4 linked regions of the Drosophila melanogaster genome follow. Changing the gene in region 2 together with the main gene of any one other region gives a genetic interaction. Each region holds a gene or a part of one and is shown on either strand. Other genes may lie near its edges.

Region 1 (4,975 bases), 7.1 Mb from region 2:
TTTTTTTCGGCTGTATCTACGGACCACTGCTGCCGTATAAAACTGAACCGTACGTGTGTATATGCATCAATTAAGCTTTTATTCTAACATAACAATTTTGAATGTGGCCGAAACCAGTTTTGAGTGCGCGACCAAGAGGGCCGATGCCTACGCAGAAGTATCTCATGGATAGCCGTGTGAGTAGTGGCCAAGAGAGGCCACCATAAACCCACAAAAGATACCGAAAAATGTGGACCATCAACGTCATCAATGAATCTCTGGTGTGTGCACACGAATTCGTCCAACTCCATGCCATGCAAATCTCATTTGGCCATTGGCCCTCTGATTCTGTAATAAATTCCACAATAGACTGTTGATATTTTGATGGACTCAAGCCGGTCACAAATCAGCCACATTAACTGGCACGAGACAGCATTCAAATGTTAATTAATCAAGAGTCATAACGAGTTTTCCTATGCCGGCATGGATATCGAATGGATTGACTGAGGTTAGTTCGCCGTGCGAGTTGGCTATTCGCAGTGAATGTGGCATCAGAAGCCGGAAAAAATCACCTTTTTCGTTGGCTCCTTGGCCAACTGAAGTCTTAACTGATCACTTCGAACTCAAAAAAACAAAAAACATAACCAATGAAAAACAGGTTGCGGCTACCGAAGAAGAAGAGGATGCGTTCTGGTCAGGATGATGGCCCGTAGCGGATCTGCCTGCCGGTGGTGGATTGCTCCTAACCTGGCCGAGACAGCTGCAAAACCGCGAAGAGAGCCAGGCGCTAACAAACTCATTTTAAGCACGGTAAAATATTTTATTTACCTACTTTTTCTTAAATTTTATTCAAGTAATTCCTCTACTACAACTTAATCTTTATATCCGCAATTATTTGATTTCAAATATAAATGGATTAAACTCATTCTACACATATTTCAAGAAAACAGCCTATTGTAAAAATTAAAGGATAACACCTTAAGCCTTTAACTCTTAATATTAATCGTCTTATAAAATATAATAGAACGACATTTGATGTTTTTGTGTGTAACTAAACTTGGATCACATAATTAACCTAAGTAAATAACTTTTTTTTCTCTGCACCAGCCGCAAGAAGAATGGGAAAAGGTTGGTAACACGCCGAGAAAGAGAGACAGAGAGAGCTAGAGAGAGGCAGGGAGAAAGGGGTCGAACGAGGAGCAGTAGCAGAAAACCAGTCTTACAACAATTTTTCAGCTACTTGCCACTGGCAGGCTCAAAATGGACTTGACTTGACTCTTCCAATTGCACCAAACACACCGCATTCCAACTAGAAAATCATAAAACATAAATGTGCGAGAGTATCTGGCCCCCATCGAAATATAACAAAGGCCCTGTTAATGGCCTCGAAAATAAAATCTATCTTAATAAATTGGCAATCCGACAAAACTGAGTCGAGTGAATAATGTATCCAGCAGATAAGTTTGTCCCGGCCTGCTGAAATATTTATGCGCCAGACAAAGGGCGCAGAAACAAAGATACAAACGCAATGGCAAAGGCAAAATCCCATGGACAAGTGTGAAATGCAGGGAAAACAAAGCACTTGCAACGCTCAGATACAGATACATTTGTATCTCGTGCAGGCATTTGATTCCACGATTCCCCGATTCCGATTTCGGTTATGTTTTGACCCAACTCTTCTCCTTTCTCTCCTCGCGCTCTCCGCGTTTTTGACCCACGTTTTAATGTGACTTTTATTGTGCTTCCTCCTTTTGTTGTCTCATTTGGTATTCAGTTTAATGTTTGTTTAGAGCTTCGCGTTTGTATCTTTTTGCGATGGCTCTGAACTTTAACAGTTGCACTGTGTGAGCGTCGGACTTCGACTTCGACTTCGGCCATCGGCCAACTGTTTGGGCCAACTGCTAATTGGAGATGGCCAAGAAAGAGGCCTTAGGTTTAAAGGCCCAATTGGAGCTCTATTTTATTGCCGAAGCCCTAGAGCTGAAAGCCGTTAATTAAGAACGTCTTAAATCGAAACATTTCAGAGGTAGCCAGAACCACTAAGCGTCTTTCCATATCATATAACAAATAAAGGTTCTAGCAATATTTCATACAGGCCCCCATTTATATGCAGATACAAAATACTTTTCTAGAGCTTATAACCCTTTGAAAATATGAATTACGCGATTCCGCTATGGCGTAAGCCCTTAAATACGAAGTTTATCTAAGAGATTTAAGGCCACGCCTGCGGAACATATAGTGTCCTGTTGGAACGACACCTGTCATACGTCATGAATCAGGTGTCATGCGTCGCACAATTCCCATTAGAATGCAGCCGCATCCCGCCCACAAGGACATATGTATATGCGCGAGCACATGCACATATCCTTGATATATCCTGGCTGGAACGTGTGAACTTACAGGCTTTTGTTTGCTCTGCCGCTGAATTTCCACGCGTGGGTGGCCAATAATCCGCTTTAGCTGCACGGCTGCATTGTTAAATATTTATAATATTGCATTTAAAATCGCGCATCCGTGTTGTTTCCTCTGCGTGAATCTTGTGTTTGTATTATTAACACAATATATTATAATTAGCACTCGCCAGTTTGTGTGACTGGCCTCACTCTAGAGCACTGTTTAAACTGATTTAACTATTTTGATTCCGGGAAATTCGAATAATTCGAATGCTAAACCGACTATAACCCCGACCGTTAAGCTGGGCGGCTAAAAAAAGGGGGTGGTTGTTGGAAAAGCCAACGCACTTTTCTGAAAACAGCAGGCGAAGAAAAGACCGCGCGCTAAAATTCACTGAGAGCGAGGATTGTTGTATGTTGTGTTGGCGAAAAACCGGTAATTTCGACCGTCGAAGTTGTTACTTTGGGTTTGCGTTTACCTCTGCCTTTTGGCTTTGCACTTGCCTTTGCATTTGTCTTTGCTTTTGACTTTGCAGAGACGCGCACGCGTAGCCCCGAGTGAAAAATAATACCGTTCTTGCTGGCCAAACGCTCAAAACGCGTCCAATCGGTCCGGAGTCGCAGTGGTAACTGGCAAAACCAGAAACAGAAACTGAGTTTCTTGCTAAAACTCAGTTGGAAGCCGAAGCGAGTTCGTGTATCCGATGGATACTTTCGTCGGTGGTGGATTTTCTGCGGGGGGTGACTGCGTGTTGCAGCAACATTGCCGCGACTGTTGCAACATGTTGCGGCAGCAGAGAGAGGTGCCACCAAATTTCGGTTTGCATCCCCGAGCATAAAAACGTGCAATTTGATCCAGGATTCTTCAACCTGTAGGATATTCAATCTTTGGAAACTTCGAAAGTCTTTTTCTTATCAGTAAATTAGTTTTGCAGCACGCTTTGCATGCTCAAAGATTTAAATCGACTCAATTTATTAAATGTGATATTTATATAATTTTACTACTATTTATTAAATAAATGTTAAATAAATGTGTTATCTGTGCATCGGGCCAACACCTGTAATCGGAATTAGTTTGCGAATCTAAAGATGGTGGAACATTATCCCTTACGGGTAAAACTTGAACATAAAATTGCTAACTTATAAATTTACATGTGGTGTATTCATTTGTTAATATTAATAAATAATATTCCATATAGCCTAGTTTTTGTGTCCCACCAATAATAATTCATTTTCTGTTGAACGCCTTGGTTTGAAAACTAAATAAACAAACAAACATATTATTTGGCATAATTAAGCGATAGTCTAAATCAACGCAATTTATGTTCAGAAACATAATATGCTAAAAGTTCACTGTCAAAACCAAAAATGTAGTACACCATTAAAACCGACCAAATGACCGTTTTCCATGTTATGATGAGGTTCAAGTGTCAAGAGCTGTTAAGTGAATAGTTTCAATTACGAAGCCATTAGGGATGAATCATTATTCCAATTGGGATCTATACATAGGTATGCCAGAAATTCGCATGTTCCTGCTTGCCATTCGATTAGATTTCAGTTTATCGAATTATGCAAAATATTTAATGCAATTTTGGTTGGCAGAATTCGGCAGCAGTGATAAACATATGCTGGGACCCAGAAACCGAACAAGCTTTTGGCCCACAAGGACAACAGTCGTGGGTAATGGCTACGCTGGTAGATGTATGTATGTGTCGGCGGAATTTATAGCTTACAGGAAGGTGTTGGCCAAGACATCGTCGTTTGGCCAACAACTCGCATTTGGCCAGCTGACGTGGTCCGAATACTTCCGAATAGCAACGAATCGAAGGGATTTTGGGAGGAATCGAAGGAATAGGAGAATAGGAGACCGAAATGGGGGTTTCTTGCATGTAATTGACATTGGCCCCTTGCGTTTGATTAATTGCATTTGGTTGAGGCTCTTCCAAGCCATTGACTCGGAATGCTCTGAATTCCCCCATTGATCTGTATCCGTGTCTATGTAACCTTGTGGCCATGTGTAGCTAGCTGCATCCGTAATCTGTAACCGTTTCAATTTGTATCTGTGTGCTTTTTGCGGGGCAATAAATTCGACATGTTCGACATGCTTTCCAATTACTGAGCGCTGGCATTAAACAAATGCAGCACACTTGACACACGTCGAAAGCCGGCAGCCCTTTTCGGAGATCGGAGTTGGAAGATGGGTTATCAGGAGGGAACAAGGCCAAACCTCCACGATTCAGCGTGTCCAGCCAAGCAGGCCAAACACTTGGAAAAATATCACTTCGAGGAATTTTGTTTAAATAAGCAAAGTCCGATTTTTGTATTCAATATAAATAAACAATCTGAGAGTAGTAAAAAAATATGTAAAATGCACTCAACGTATCAGCGTCTTCTTGTTTATGTGGCACATTTTTGTTTGGATTGAGTGGCTATCCATCCATAGTGTCCACATCTTTCTCTCTCTGCAGGACGAAGACACTTGTCTCTGCATTTGGTTTATGCAAGTGCCGCCTGCGAGCGATATAAAAACGCAGGAAGGGGAGGAAGGCGAAGGGGTTTTGCTGCCGCTTCACTGAACCTCAATGTGCGCAAGGATGAGATGG
Region 2 (5,055 bases):
AAGATTTGACATAATTTGAAATTTGGATTTTACGTATCTTTACCTTACTTCGCGTGAATGTAGGGGGGGGATGGAGAGGGGTAGATGGGAGAGGTGGAGAAAAGACAAGAGAAGAAATGCGCAGCGTAACCCTAAGACATCAACGGTCAGAGTTGTTGGGCATCAATAACCAATGACTGAGACTGGAGAGTTGGTAGATGGTACACGGCAAGAAATGCCATGTCGATTCAAAACTTTGAGTTATATTATTAATCTGATGATATAGAAACTCATTGAAACGATTTTATTTTAGCTTTTGACTTCTTAGCCTCTTTAAGAATAATTATATGCATAAATAAATCCTCATAATATCACCATCAATGCATCCCCTTTTCTCTCCGTGTATTTGGGAATGTTCAGGGAAATAAAGGCGTGCATGGATGGGGCAGGGGTGGCGAGCGCGAAGGGGAACGGGAACGGCTGCAAGACGGAGTCAAGAAGTCCCGAAGAAACGAAGAAAGGCTAAAGAAAAGAAAAACAATAAACGTTAACACGAACACGAAAATAAAATAACTCTCTCACGAAGTTCCCCCTTTTTTTTGTGTGTGGGTTACATGTGCCTGTTTCGCTGTGTGCGTGTGTATCTCACGGCTGAATGTATCTGTGTGTCTGGCGGTGTGAGTGCTGCGTAGATGTTCATTTTACTGTACCATAATCGCAGCCCCAAATTGATCACCATCATCAAGAAGGGAAAAAATCAAAAAAAAAAAAAAAAGAAAGAAAATAAAAATCATAATAAAAAGAAGCTGAGAACATAAGAGGCAAAAGGCAGCACAAAAGTCCAGGGGAAAACGTAATCACAAACACTGGGCAACATCATCGATTTTCGAACAAGAAGGCTGCGCAGTAGACGTCGACGCAGAGGCAGAGGCCGAGACCGAGACAGAGGCGTCTTGATCCCTTCTCGCTACCGCTCTTTATGGCCAACTCTCCCGCTCTAGCAAGGTATTGTTGGGAGCACAACGGCAATATGACAGCAATACCAATACCTGTGCGACTTACCTGCCGCTGCCGCTGCGCAGCGGCCACTTCGAAATACGAAATACAAAATAAAACCAAACAAAGAGGAATGTGTGCGCGAAAGATACCACCAACAACACAACGGCAACAGCAACAGCAACAATGACAACAACAACAACAACAACACGAGTTGAGGCTGGGACCAAGAGACTTAGGCTACGTCTGCACAACATACAGGGTGTCCACTGTGAACGAAGGCTTTCAAAAGCAACACTGGCCAGCAGGGTAATGAAATCGTTTAGTTTCAATACATTTGAAATCATTTAAAATGCCTAGCCGTATAGATATAATAAAACTTATTAAAAAAACATGCAGAATGCATTTTAATTTAAAACCGCACGAACTAAATGGATTTTATGCCTACATCTCCAGCAAAATTGTTTAAAAATATTTCTATGAGATTGTCGTTGTCAAATAATATCGAAATAATATCCAATTACCATTTTTCTATTAACTCCATCGAATCAACTTGACGTACTATGTATAAATCTAGCTAAAATATATCTTATAGTTTGGTAATACCATATGTTTTTTAAAAATATCAAGTTTTGAAAAATATTTATTTTTGAAAAGTTTCTACACCCTAGTAGTGCCCAAAAAATGCCCGCTTTTATTGCTCTCTTTATTGGGAATACCAGCTATTGTGATGGAATCTCCCGAAAAAAGGGATCTATAAGCCGAAAACCAAATGGTCAATAGGGTGCTATATTTCTGACGGTGTAATCCCTCCATGAACCGACCAGGGCTACATAGCCTGATGCGTTTATAATTACTTCTTGGTAGGCTAAGTACTACTCACTTTTGGGCCGGGGTGCCTTGAGCTCTTGGGATCAGGATGCGGATTTTGGCACTTGGTGAGGATCTATGGCACTCGAGCACGCTGGAGCAGTGGATCGGATCGGTGGAACTGGAGCTGGATCGTGGACTGGAGTCTGTTTGCTTTGGGAGTCTGCAACCTGGGAGTCTGGAGCTGTAACTGAAATGTGGCTGCTGCTGCTGCTGCTGCTGTTGTTGGTTGCTCCGTTGTTGCTGTTTTGCTGGTGGGTGCACCTTTCGCCACTCTTTGTGCTGTTTTAGTTGTTGTTGTTGTTGTTGTGCGTCTGGGGGCTTTTAGCCTGGCTCTCTGGGCCTTTGGCTTACACAATGCTCTCGGCTGGCTGCTTTTGGCCGCTTCTAATGTGCCACTCTTTGTGGTATGTGGAGCTGTTGTTGTTTCGTTCGCTTGGTGCTGCCTTTGTTGCTGGCGGTTTGTGCATTTTGGCCTAACATTTGATGTTGCTGCTGCTCATATTGCTGCTATTGCTACTGGAGGGCGCAAAAGTTGAGGGGGCGGGTCGGTTCGGGGGCGTTGCGCCTGGCATTTGCGTTTTCAAGCCAATTTGTTGTTGTTTTTTCTATTTTTCTATGAGTATTTTCACTATTTTTTACGCGCTTTCCGCACTAGCATTTGTTATTGCTGCTGGTTCTGGCTGCTGTTATTAATCACTATTTTTATTTTGCATTTTATTATTCGCTGCTCAGCTTTGATGGCGTCTCATTCCAGCTCGCAAGCGCACACACACAGGCACACTTTAAGCTCACGCTCTCCGAGAGACATGCACACGTACACACACACAGATACTCTCGCACTCAACACACACGCACACACACACGAGGTTTTTTTTCGCTTTTTCAGCCTTCTCTTCCTCTTCGTGGCTGAAATTCGTGTGTGTGTTTTATTTAATTTCGAAAAAGTTTAAGCGCGACTTTTTGCTGTTTGTTTGGCGTAGAAACTTTTGGATTTTTCGCAAATATCGCGACACACACGCGCACTCACAGGTAATTTCGATTTGAAACGATTAGTCGGATTTGAAACTATATATTTTCGGTGTATTAACTTGCTGACTTTCCGTGTGCGCGGAAAACTTGTCGTCGCTGTCGCTGGATCTCGGCTCTTGGCTATAATGCCCAAAGAGTCAATTGGAGATTGTTCAACTGTTGAATGTGCTGCTGCCGCCGCTGCTGCCACCTCTGCCGACGTCGTCGTGCAGTTGTATTGGTGGCAAGGTGATGTCTGTGTTCGCGGCGCTGGTTAGAGAGCGCTCGATTATTATTGCTTTTTATGGTTTCATCTCTTTCGTAACTGATATTGAGCGAACGCGGCAGCGACGCCGGCAGCGCAGCGCCACTCAAATTCATTCGAATCGATGATGTTGTCTCTACACTCCCAAACACCCATACAAGTGCGATCTAAAACACAGGTAGCCCAGTGCTTCCATCTGTGTGTGTGTGTGTGGGTGCACCTGCAGAGGCCGAAACGCAGGCAGGTACAAAAGACTTAGGCAACGAACCTTCCACTTCAGCATGCACTTGCGGCGAAGGGAGATGGCAGATCAAAAGAGAGAGAAAGAGAGAGGGCAAGAAAGAGAGCCACAGCCACCCTCGACACGGGCAAACCGCTCCTGCATTTCGTATCTCCCGGACTTTGCGTTTATTTCTGTGCTGCGGCATTGCATTCATCGTCGAAAATTCGAATTCGCTGCTCGGTTCACTCTACTTCGCTTTCGAACTCGCCGCCTTGTTGTTCTGTTTTTGTTGTTGTCATTCGGCTTGTAAACCGCGTGAAAGTGGTAGTGCAATCGGGCATCAGGTAGAGAAACAAACACACACAACAGCGGGAGAGAGGTGGAGAGAAAGACCGAGATCACCGCATGCCAAGAGAAGTCCCTGCAAAAAATTACTGGATACAAAGATGCACTTTCTGAAAACTATTCCGCGGTTAAGCAGTTCAGATAATTAATATAGTTCAACTCTTAATTCTTATATAAAATACTGTTGATAGGTTTCCTATACACAAGCTAAATCACTAAAGCACTTTGTATGATTAAATATTAAAAAAATTTACGAATATTGCATATATTTAACATAAAATCAAATAAATCAACTCGAATTGTTAGCACTGTGAAATGAAGGATTTTTTTCTCCGTGTGGCATACATACGTAAAATAGTTGTGCATGTACCACAATCGAAAACGCCAAGTAGCTGCCGTGCCGCCGCAGCCTCCGCCGCTCTCTGTTCCGTTCTCTCGGCCTGGCTTTCGGTTAACCTCAGTCGGGCTCCTACAACCTCACCTCGCCAGGCGGCGCGGCAATCAGCGCTGTGTCGTGTGGATCGGCGGACGAACCGACGGACGGTGCTTGTGTGCTTTCCGCCATGGTAAAGGGTGACTCCCCCCAGCTTCCTTTCCTCCGAGCTCCCCCCACTTGGATCCCGCACTCACCAATTCACGTTGTTTGTCTTTTGGCGCTGCGCACGCGTGGAACTGTGGTTAAGAACGTAAAGCAGCGGGCGCTAGTTTTCACTGAAGCACTAGACATTCTACGCAATGTAAAATATTTATGTAAAATGCAATTTTACAGTAAATATTTAAAAAGTACATTCATGATGATAAGTAACAATAAATAAAGATAAAATTAAAAATATTTAATGTAATATGTTGAGTTCCAGGAGCCCAATTACAAACACTTGCATCTCAAGTTTGAATTTGAGTTTTATTTTCATTTCGGTTTATTGTTGCAATATATTAAATGTTTAAAACTAAATTTAGGCTTAGTTTAATCCATTTTTTATTTATTGATTTTGCCGTTTTTGCGTTTACACATTAGTTGATTTTCATGTAATAAATTTAATTTGTGGTTTTTAACTGGTCGAAACATTTCACTAATGCTTGATTACGTTTTTGTACATATACCGCTAAGTAGTATATATATGTATGCATGTATCGGTGTGTGTGTTTTGTGTGCGAGTGTGGCGGTGTATATAACTAAAAACAAACAACAATCGCATTAAATGTACTTATATATTTGGTTTTTTTCTTCAAAAAGTCTTATATCTGTCCGTTATGCAAAAGTAAGAAACCGAAGAGAAGCATTCACAAACAAACATTCCATCCCTCCGCGCGTCCCTTTGTCCAGGACATTTTTGTCTAACCTGATTGCCTAAAATTAATGTAACAA
Region 3 (4,831 bases), 1.7 Mb from region 2:
CAACGCAATGCCATAAAGTTCAAGCCAACAACACACACAGCGCCACTTACTCACTCTCGCACACAAATAAATAAGCAAGCGAACACAGATACTAAGGCGTTGATGAAGACGACAGACAGCAGATACAAGAGCAACAACAACAAACAGCGATCCAGTGCCGGCTGGTTGGAGAATTGGACAGCTGCCGCCATGATAGATACGATACTCGCACTCCGGCCGGCCTGGCCAAGTATTTCTGTACTTTAACGGGCCACGGAGAAGCGCAAAGCAAAAAGAATTGGTACTAAGAAAAACAAGGCGACTGAACAACGAAGTGTTGATCCCCTTACTAACTAACTAACGAATACAAAAAATGAAATTTAACATCAGTTACAGTTTATAGAAAAGGTAAACTTTACATAAGAATGCATAACCTAACTGGTTAAAACAAACATAATTCAATGAATTCTTGTTATCTTTTGCTGGCAAATTGGTGCCTAAACTTCGGCTGTCTCTCCTTCAGCACAAGTTGTTTTCATATTATCATATTATCATAATCAAATTTCAAAGTTTATATCTATATAATCATTTAAGTATTATTCTTGCATTTAATTTGCTAAAATTAAAAACAAAAGGCTTTCAATCTATCAATCCAATTAATTGCGTGGGTGCCACAAAGAGAACTGCAAAAGTGAAAAGTTAAGTTTTGAGTCATCAAAAGCGAGAATGTAAGCCCAATGACGAGCCATCATCCAGATGCGAGGCCAAAACAGACATTCTTATAATTAGTGAAAAAAGCGGGCGAAAAAAGGGTCTGCACTTGACACGCAACCCGGGAAATGGTCGCTCACTCCCACACAAGCGCTAATAGGACAATCCCAACGCCCCCCCCCTCCACCGGGACCGCCCTCATCGTTGGGCCAGCAACAAATTGACGCAATCTGATTAAAAACGCATCAAAATAAAACTAACTGGTGGCGAAGGGAAACCGGGGAAATGGGCGAAGGGACAACAACCTATGCTAAATGCTCGTAAAAGTAATTTTGTTGGCCCACACACACAAACACACTTGCACGCAACACACACACGTGCAGAGACACTCACACAGAGACACGTAATTTAGGGGTGCTGGCGGAAGTGAAAAGGAAACATCTAGTCCTCTTAGAACAGCCGACGTCCCCTTTTTGCGTACGCAGCATCCGCAAAAGAGTGCCGAAAACTGAGTGGTAATGCCGGGGATTTTCTACAGTAGGCACTCGCGAATTGGGAAAAACGTATGATAAACCAAGCCAGTTTAAACAGTGGCAAGCATAAAGTTAGTTAAAGCCTATGCCGAAATATTATATAATATAATATGTACATAAATAGATAATATAACACATTCAATCAAAAACCAACGTTGATGAGTTAATCCGCTGAATGCTAAATATTGTGTCAATAAGCTATTGTACGTATTGTTCACACATTCTATGCGTTCTTGCGTCTGAAAATGTCGACCTATTTATTTTTATGGTAGTAATAAGTTTTTATTGCTTTGCCAACAATTGTATATTATGTACATGTGAGTTTTACGTTTTAAAGCAGAAATTGTTTACTCACATTAAAACAAATCTAGAAGAACCTGAAATGTAACTCATTTAAAAAATTTCATAAATGGTCGCAGTAAATGCAGTTTTAAACTTAACTTCATTTGGTTCCTGCGCACCAGGTTCCACTGTACTGAAACATTGGTGCCGTGTATGGCCAAAAATCACAGTGCGGGCGGAAACTGAGTGCCGTCATCAAAATACGCACACACACACACACACGTTGGAGAACACGGGGAGAGAGCAAGATAGAAAGGGGCAGACAGATGAAATCAGAAAAAGGAGAAAAGGAGGAGGAGGCAAACGGAGTGACAGCTGCCCCATTCGCATCCGGGAAAAAGTGGCCGCTAAAATCATTTGTTAAGTGCGGTGGCCATGACAACTGGACCAAAAGTCGGAGGGTCCTGCTTCTGGTCAGATTTTTCAATTTTTACATCTCCCTCTGTGCAGAACGCACACACATATGCAAGTATTTCCATCATCATCCACACCAGCAAACAAAACAAGAACAACAGCCGTGTGCAGCCTCCTGCCCCCTTTTACACGCAGAGAAATAAAGTATAGCAAGTCGAAATTTAGTCGAAATACATTTTAATGCAATTTTATTCATCCTCTTGCTTGATAAGGCTAAATAATATGCTTTTATAAAAACAGACTGCGTTCGAGACCCTCAGCGAAACTTTTTCTAACGAGAATAACTTTTCGATATCAAAATAATTTATTCATTATTTCGTCCAGTGCATCCATTTCGCTTCCGTGTTTCGAAATTCAATTTATGTATACTTTATGGAGCCGTAGCCGGCTCCCCAAGCTCCATTTCGCCCCCCCTTTTGCCCAGTGAGGCGGAGAAAATTGTAAGTTCAGGAAAATCGATTTTCTTGTTGTATTTTTTCTGCCGTTCTTCATTATTTTTTTGGCTGGCTGCAGACATGGCTAATTGGAGTTCTTTTTGTTGGCATCAGCTCGTGAACTGAATGCTGCAGTTTGCATCTTTACTCACCTCGTTGCGCTATTTTTAATGCACCGGATTCGGATTCGGATTGCCTGTTTCGGGGATTCGATTCGGGACTCTCCTGCCCCACTTCCCCACTCTTTTGGCCAAAGAAATTGCGTCCAGAGAGCGACACTCACACTCGCACGCACAAACACACGCACGTACACACGACTGCAGCAATGTTTCTCTTCAATTGCAGAGCGCTTTTTTATTCTATTTTCACGAGCTCACTCGCGATTTTACGCACTTCTTTTCGGCGACAACTATTTCGTTTGAGATAGTAATTCCGTGGAGTAATTATGCTTCACATGCTGCCTGTTTTCCGAACACTTTTCACTTTTCTTTCTTTTCTATGCAGCTGAATGGGAGCAGAAAACAAACGCAGCCCTAACGGCACCGAGTTGTGGTTGTTGTTGGCTAGGCAGTGTGACCGCAACTGAGGGTGGAAAAGAATCCGTTGCGGAAAATATACCGAAATGTATCTTGTGGATTCATTTGCAACAGCTGCGCTGCCACAACCATCGTGGGTAGCTAGAGATGGCACAATACCAATTCGATATATGTACAACCAAACATATTCATTCCATATTTAAAAAGTTTTCGGTTACTTTCAGATCCATTCAATTAAAAGCGGTTTATCTAATTTGTCCCCATATGGTGGTTTTCCATTTGACCAATATTATGACGATTTTTTAGATTAATTGTATGATTCCATCTATATGTAATGCATTTTACATGCTAACGTAAAATAGCATGCAGCTAAGTTCGAAATTTCGAACCCAATGGTCTGGCAACGCCAAAGCGGCTTACCGGCTGTTCAGGCGGTATTATTCGGACTTCATGCGGTCATACTAACTGGAAATTACTTAACATGCTGCAAGGAATGCTCCAAAGGCGAGTAAATAATGAATATACCATTTATTTTGAGTGGTATAATAACATACATTGGCATTGCAGGACCTGCCTGGCGGTTGTCAGCACCGCACAAACTCTAATCGTGCGGGATAAGCACGCTTTCAACCGGGCGGTGCTGAAACCGAAAGTACGCTGCCATTTTCCGAAACCCATGGAGGTGAAGAGAATTAATGTCCACGGCTGGAATGCTAGGATGTCGACGCCTGAGGGACGACGAGTGCTGATGAACCGGATCCTCAAAGGACGTCACAATTTGTCACACTAGCCTTGTGTTAATAAACCTAACTTTATTTACAATGTTATCCGATTGCGATTGCTACAGTAAGCTCAGTTTTAGTTTCGTTGATTCGCTGGTACTCCCAGAAAGGCTGGCGCTCGATGGTAGATCTGCTGAATACTCTTCGAAGATTTCGAATCGTCAAGGATGAACACGAAGGGCACACTGCTGGACACACCTTGGCCCTGATCCCGAAGGAAGCCCTGCGGCAGGGACTGTTCCCCGCCGAGGATAAGACAATCCACCAGGGACATCTTTTGTAGCGGCATTGCTGGCACCAGGTATAACTCCTTGCGCTCGTAGTCGATGGCGCGAACCACACCTAAAAGAATTTTGGAATTCAATTAATAAGCCACAAAAGAACGTGAATGTGTACAAACCTATTCCCAAACATTGGGGCAGACCTGCTCCGTGATGGCACAGATATACTACATTAGCCTCCATGCCTCGAATCAGTTCTTCGCGCGAGTAATTCTTGCTGGTGGGATGCAGGATTTTCAGGGATTCCAAAGACACTCCCAACGGCTGGCAGTCTGTAAGAGATTTGGCATTTCCAGTCAGGCAGGAACTGAGACGTGCCAGAAGATTGGAGTACCGCATGTCCTTGGCGCTGAGACTCCAAGTTCCTTTTTCCCTTGCAGGCACTGCACTTATCAGCTTATGGAGTGTGTATTTTGGTATTTCATTGATCTTGAACTCCTCCGCAGAGTATATAATTGGTTTTATCTGCGACAGACTGTTCCGGTCGAGGACAGAATCAAAGTTATTGATTGGAATGGGACTGGCAATCTGTACAAGATCCGTGGGACGAATGCGATCCACCAGCAGAGCCATCAATTCGATACCAAATCCCTTATTATAGCCCATCGTATTTATCAGCCAAGGAATATTTGAATACTTGGCATCGTTCTGAATGTTTTGGACTAGCTGAATAACTGCTCGGGCATACTGCTCTGCGCACAAGACAATGTTGGTGTGGCCCACGACAATGGCATGTTCCGGCTGCCTGTTGTACAGGAAGCCCGGTCCCAGAAGGGGCTCATCAATTACGGTGCAAGAAATAGTCTGGGGTACAAATAT
Region 4 (4,730 bases), on a different chromosome or scaffold from region 2:
TAAAATATAGTTCTTTGTCTATTAATCATAAAGTTTATAATTTTGATTTCGACCAATTTCTTATCTGTACCTGTGGAGCCCTTATAAAACGCTTGTTAATACCACTAGTTTCTAACATGGCAATTATATGTTTATATTGTCGGATCATTATCTATCCAATAAGCATTAATTCACGCTCTCACACTGCGCCATTATCATTAGCAGACAAAGAGACCTATCTAGCTCATAAAGCACGGCAAACAGGGCCAAAACACACAGAGATACAGATACGGATTCATTTGCAGATACTCTTACAGACAGAATCGTGATGTGGGCCAAATGCAATCCAGGCAAACAAGCTGCTAAATTTCGCACGCAGCTCTCAAAAGGCATTTAAGCACGGGGTCTGGGGACTCCGGCTAAACCAAAGATGCTGACAGCCATGATGATATGGGGATGGAAAGAAGGCAGCAAGGCCAAGAGGAACTGATGACACACAGCCAAGGAAAAACGAGACCAATCAAGAAAAAGCGAGTGAGACGAAAGAAGAAAAAACACCGAGAAATCGCAATGGTAAAGTAGCTAAGAGATACACATGTATCCGCCAGATATCCAGACACTGAGGGAAGTGTGAATTATCCTGCCTCAAAGTATTTAATGCGCTTTACTTATGGCAGCCGGCAACAACAGAGTGACGGCTAAAAATAGCAAAAGATAAACACATTGGAAACACATAGACGATGATCATCACTCATCCAAAACCAACAGAAAATAAATCGTGGAAAAATCAGTCTGCTGAGGGGCTTAAGAACCCGAAAAAAAGCTGCTAAAGGAAAAGGGTGGAAAATTAATTAAAGAACGTGAAAATGCAACAGGCTGACCCTCAGTTCAAGTTATTAAACATTCTATGGTTCATGTTACATTTTTTTTTTACTTTTTTTGGGAATACTTTTAAGCAGGCATTACAAATTACACAACTCCAAAAAGAACTGGTTTACCTTTCCTCAACCGAAGCCAAAGAAAAAACGATCTACCTGCCGCTGTTAACCATCTTTTGTGAGCTGCGGGCAGGTAGAATGCGGGCTCGTCGCCCTTCTCTCCTTCTTCTCGTTATTCCTGGCCTGCCAAGGACCTCCTGCTGTTTTCCCTGGTGGTTGGAAATTGTTTTCTCGGCGCAACAGGATTTGCATTTTTCCCTACTTCTACGCTGCTCTACAAATTGAGTCTGGAGTTCAAATGAAGACATAAAAAAATCATTGACCTACATGGGACCAACCCAAATGTGGCATATTAAGTTCCAGAAATAAACGAAATACTCACTAAAAGGCTTGGGGTACTTAAAGCATACATTTAGTCAAGAAAGCGCTAAATACATTCGCTAAACAGATGTTAGTACCCAAAATTTATTTGTGCAACTTCGTTTTTAGTTTGGACATGGTTAAAAGTTTGTGCTCACCCGACGGATGATTATAGAACTTGTTTTTAACTTTTGTCATAATCATAACATGTTTAATCATAAAATTAAATGCATAAATAATAGAAAACTAATGTTTTAAAAGGTATACAGTATGCGCCTATAACCCCCTATTTTTATATGATGCTTATTTTTCGGCGCTTTTTAGTGAATTTATTTTCATTAAAGAACTTACCTTTCCGCCAACTTTTAGTTCGTAGCCCATTCCCAGAGGCGTTTTCAGTTGCACGGGGCACACGAATCCAATGTTTCGGTGCGGACTTTCTACGCCCGTCTGGTGTTTACGGGTAGTGACCTTAGCCACACTCCTTGTGGGCGTGGCCGCCGTGGAGGCCGATGATGTGGTATTCTCCGCCACGCACAAATCCTCGCCTCCATGGACGGGAAATTTGGAGCACTCCAGATTTTCCGGCCAGTTAAAGTTGTAGGTTTTCATTAACTTTTCACATACCCGCGCCGATTCGCACAGAGATCGACAAGGCGGAATGGGTCGCTCCAAAATTGTGCAGACCGGAACGTACAGGGAACAGAGGAACAACTGGAGGTCATCACTGCAGCCGATCTTCACGAGCGGAGCAAACTGATGGACCTCCAGACCCGCCTCCTCCTGCTTGGTATGGCCAATAAGATTTGGCATAATGGTCATGTTATATGGTATATTCTTGCAGATCGATATGGTGATGGGTTCACAGCGATTGTGATGTGGCAGTCCATCTAGTTCGGTCCCAGAACTGGCCATTAATCCCCCGCCGCTGCGATAATACGGACTCGCATCGAGGGGGCTCTGATCGTAGCGCTGGACCCCCTGTATCAGGGTGGGTAAAATAAACAGGATTTGACGCCACATTTTGGAATTTTTCGATATCGCTGTCAAATAACTTTTGGGGCTTTTTCTCGATCTCTTTAAACACTTTAAAACACACACATGTTGCTCATCTACTTGCACTCACTTATACACCATTGAATACTTATTTGATTTATTTTCCCTGTTTAAAAACTTCACTCCCACGAAACACTTAACACCTTTTAAATATTTGCCGGCGGCAAATATTTAGTTTGGCCTTATAAGCAAATAATAAATATTTCTCTCTATTCTCTTATTTGCGTTTGCTTTTGCTCTTTATTTTGTTTAGACTTTTTTTGTTATTTTCCGACTTCAATTTGGTTTAACCGTTTGAATTCGACTTTGCTATTTGTTGTTGGCAAAATATTATTGTGTCAAAATTTAATTTTTGGGGGTCTTTAGGACTTAGTAGCGTTGGCTTTTATCTGGCACAGTACCGGGCTTTACTTTTCTAGCAGCCACATTTTTATCTTGCTGTATGCACATACATAAGTACCGTTAGCTGTATATCATTTATGCCTCCCCCGCTTTTTGAATTTCCTTATTTCTTTCACTTTTTCGAAAACCGCGCAAAAAAATAACTGAACAAACACGGAGTCGAATTCAACTTTTTCGCACGGGACTTACGTTAAAAGACGAAAACGGAGCCGGAGTTCGAGTCGAAATCAATCCGCGAGCACATCCGCATGGTAGGGCATACGCTGACAAACTGAGGAACTGAAAACATGGGGCTCTTTCCAAGCCGCTCTCTCACCGTATCGTTCTCCTGCTCACACGCTGAATATGCGCTCTTTCGCTCGAATGGTGTGAGAGGAGGTTTTATTCAGCTATACGCTTTGTAGTATAGCACTGGGGGCGACCTTGAATTTGACACTCTCGGCGGGAGAGCCAGAGAGCCAAAGAGAGCGAAGTGAAAGACAGGGCTGTTATGCCTTTTGTTTGGATGCTGTCTCGCTCGCACTCTGTCTCCTCTCAACTTCTTGGCCTCCTGTTGATTAGCAGACAGGAAAAAGAAAGCATCAACAAACAACTAAATAAGAGACCATTTAATTAATTAGAATTCAAGATGATTATGCAATCGACAGGGCTAATAGGAAATTAGGGGCGGAAGCTGTGCCCAAATCTAGGTGTTGGGCCCGCTCAATGGAAATTTGAACATCGATATTCACTTTGTAAATACTTAAATATTTATAGATTCCAATTTAAATATTAATTAATTAACCATTTTTTCGATATAATAAATTATAACCAATCTTATGCTTATAAAATGAATAAAAGAAATAAGTGCTGCATTTAAAATGGCTCCAATATAAAAAGACTAGAATCATTTTGCCAGCAAAAAATCCTTGCTGAAATGGGATACATATCCGAAAACGAAATGAGTATACAACATTTATGTCCGAATGTCAAAAAGTTACAGTGCATGTCAGCTAAATATTTTTCAGTTTCTAAAATGTCATATTGCTTAGGTCACCGCACCTTCTTATCTTTTTATATCAATCCATCGATGCCCGTTACACTTCCCACTGTTCTTTGGTAATCTTCAGCTGTTGCAAGTGCCGTTAGAAGACATTTGCCCTCTACTGGAATATACCTATAATAATTGCTTTTCTCCAGCTTTCTTCCTCTATAGAAATACATATTTGCACGCGTTAATTTCCTTGATTTCTGCGACAATTTTTATCGTCGACCATTTCTCTGCGCACTTGCATTTACCATTTATCTTTATCTTTAGTTTTTGCTGTTGTTTGTTTACTTGCTCGCTTTTTTCCGGCAGTTAATTAAGTCATTAACTTGCGTTTAATCTGAGCTTTAGCATGAGTGAAGAGAACTTATCGCGGGAATTTGTCTAATGACCCCGTGGTGGATCGCCAAGGGAGGTGTGGGGGGTTAGGCATCTGCTGCCAGTCAATAAACTTGTTATATTGACAATAATGATGACATTAAAGGAGTCTTGGCAGTCTTTTGTCTTTGTCACCTGTAGAACCCTTTTCTCCGATCAGGCTTTCTCTGTCTCTGTCGCTCTCTACTTAACATATCTCTTTCAGCACATAACTGGCTCTCCCGCACTCTCTTTTGCGTTAAACAAGTGTTACCGGTTTAGCCGGCAAAGTTCATTTTATGCTTTGCTCTTTTTATCCGCTCTCTTCTTGGCTCCATCAACCCCAGTTCTCCCCCACCGCCACCTCCTCATCCTATTCTTCGCTTCTACACTTCGTCGGCTTGTTTAATAAAAAGCGCCAAAGTTGCGCCGCATAAAAAGGCTCTTTTTCTCGGTCTCCCCCTTGCAATCGCTAGATACACTTAACAAAAAATTAAAGTACAATTTTCAGATAAATAAGCAGTGCACTTTTAAAATCACTTATATACTATAATAATAAACAAACATATAATTTATAATTTCCGTAGAGGAGCTTGGAATATGTTAAAGGC

Evidence for each region.
Region 1: of grh (region 2) and stan, changing one enhances a phenotype caused by changing the other (phenotypic enhancement), as found in Drosophila melanogaster (one study listed by BioGRID).
Region 3: of grh (region 2) and Dg, changing one enhances a phenotype caused by changing the other (phenotypic enhancement), as found in Drosophila melanogaster (one study listed by BioGRID).
Region 4: of grh (region 2) and fz, changing one enhances a phenotype caused by changing the other (phenotypic enhancement), as found in Drosophila melanogaster (one study listed by BioGRID).

Annotation. Positions count from the first base shown.
Region 1 is NT_033778.4:10,671,374-10,676,348, reverse strand, and holds the start of stan (starry night), read right to left. Parts: upstream 3,005-4,975; 5' UTR 2,380-3,004; intron 1-2,379. UniProt on the Drosophila melanogaster protein: Involved in the fz signaling pathway that controls wing tissue polarity. Also mediates homophilic cell adhesion. May play a role in initiating prehair morphogenesis. May play a critical role in tissue polarity and in formation of normal dendrite fields.
Region 2 is NT_033778.4:17,800,195-17,805,249, reverse strand, and holds the start of grh (grainy head), read right to left. Parts: upstream 3,005-5,055; 5' UTR 1,859-3,004; intron 1-1,858. UniProt on the Drosophila melanogaster protein: Transcription factor that binds a CNS-specific regulatory element of the Dopa decarboxylase (Ddc) gene. Also interacts with sequences adjacent to other transcription units, including Ultrabithorax (Ubx) and engrailed (en).
Region 3 is NT_033778.4:16,095,563-16,100,393, forward strand, and holds the start of Dg (dystroglycan), read right to left. Parts: upstream 3,003-4,831; 5' UTR 2,566-3,002; intron 1-2,565. Other genes in the region: mRpL34 (mitochondrial ribosomal protein L34), read left to right, coding at 3,431-3,453, 3,517-3,739; CG8414 (uncharacterized protein), read right to left, coding at 3,808-4,073, 4,132-4,831.
Region 4 is NT_037436.4:14,272,625-14,277,354, reverse strand, and holds the start of fz (frizzled), read right to left. Parts: upstream 3,013-4,730; 5' UTR 2,301-3,012; coding exon 1,629-2,300; intron 1-1,628. UniProt on the Drosophila melanogaster protein: Receptor for Wnt proteins.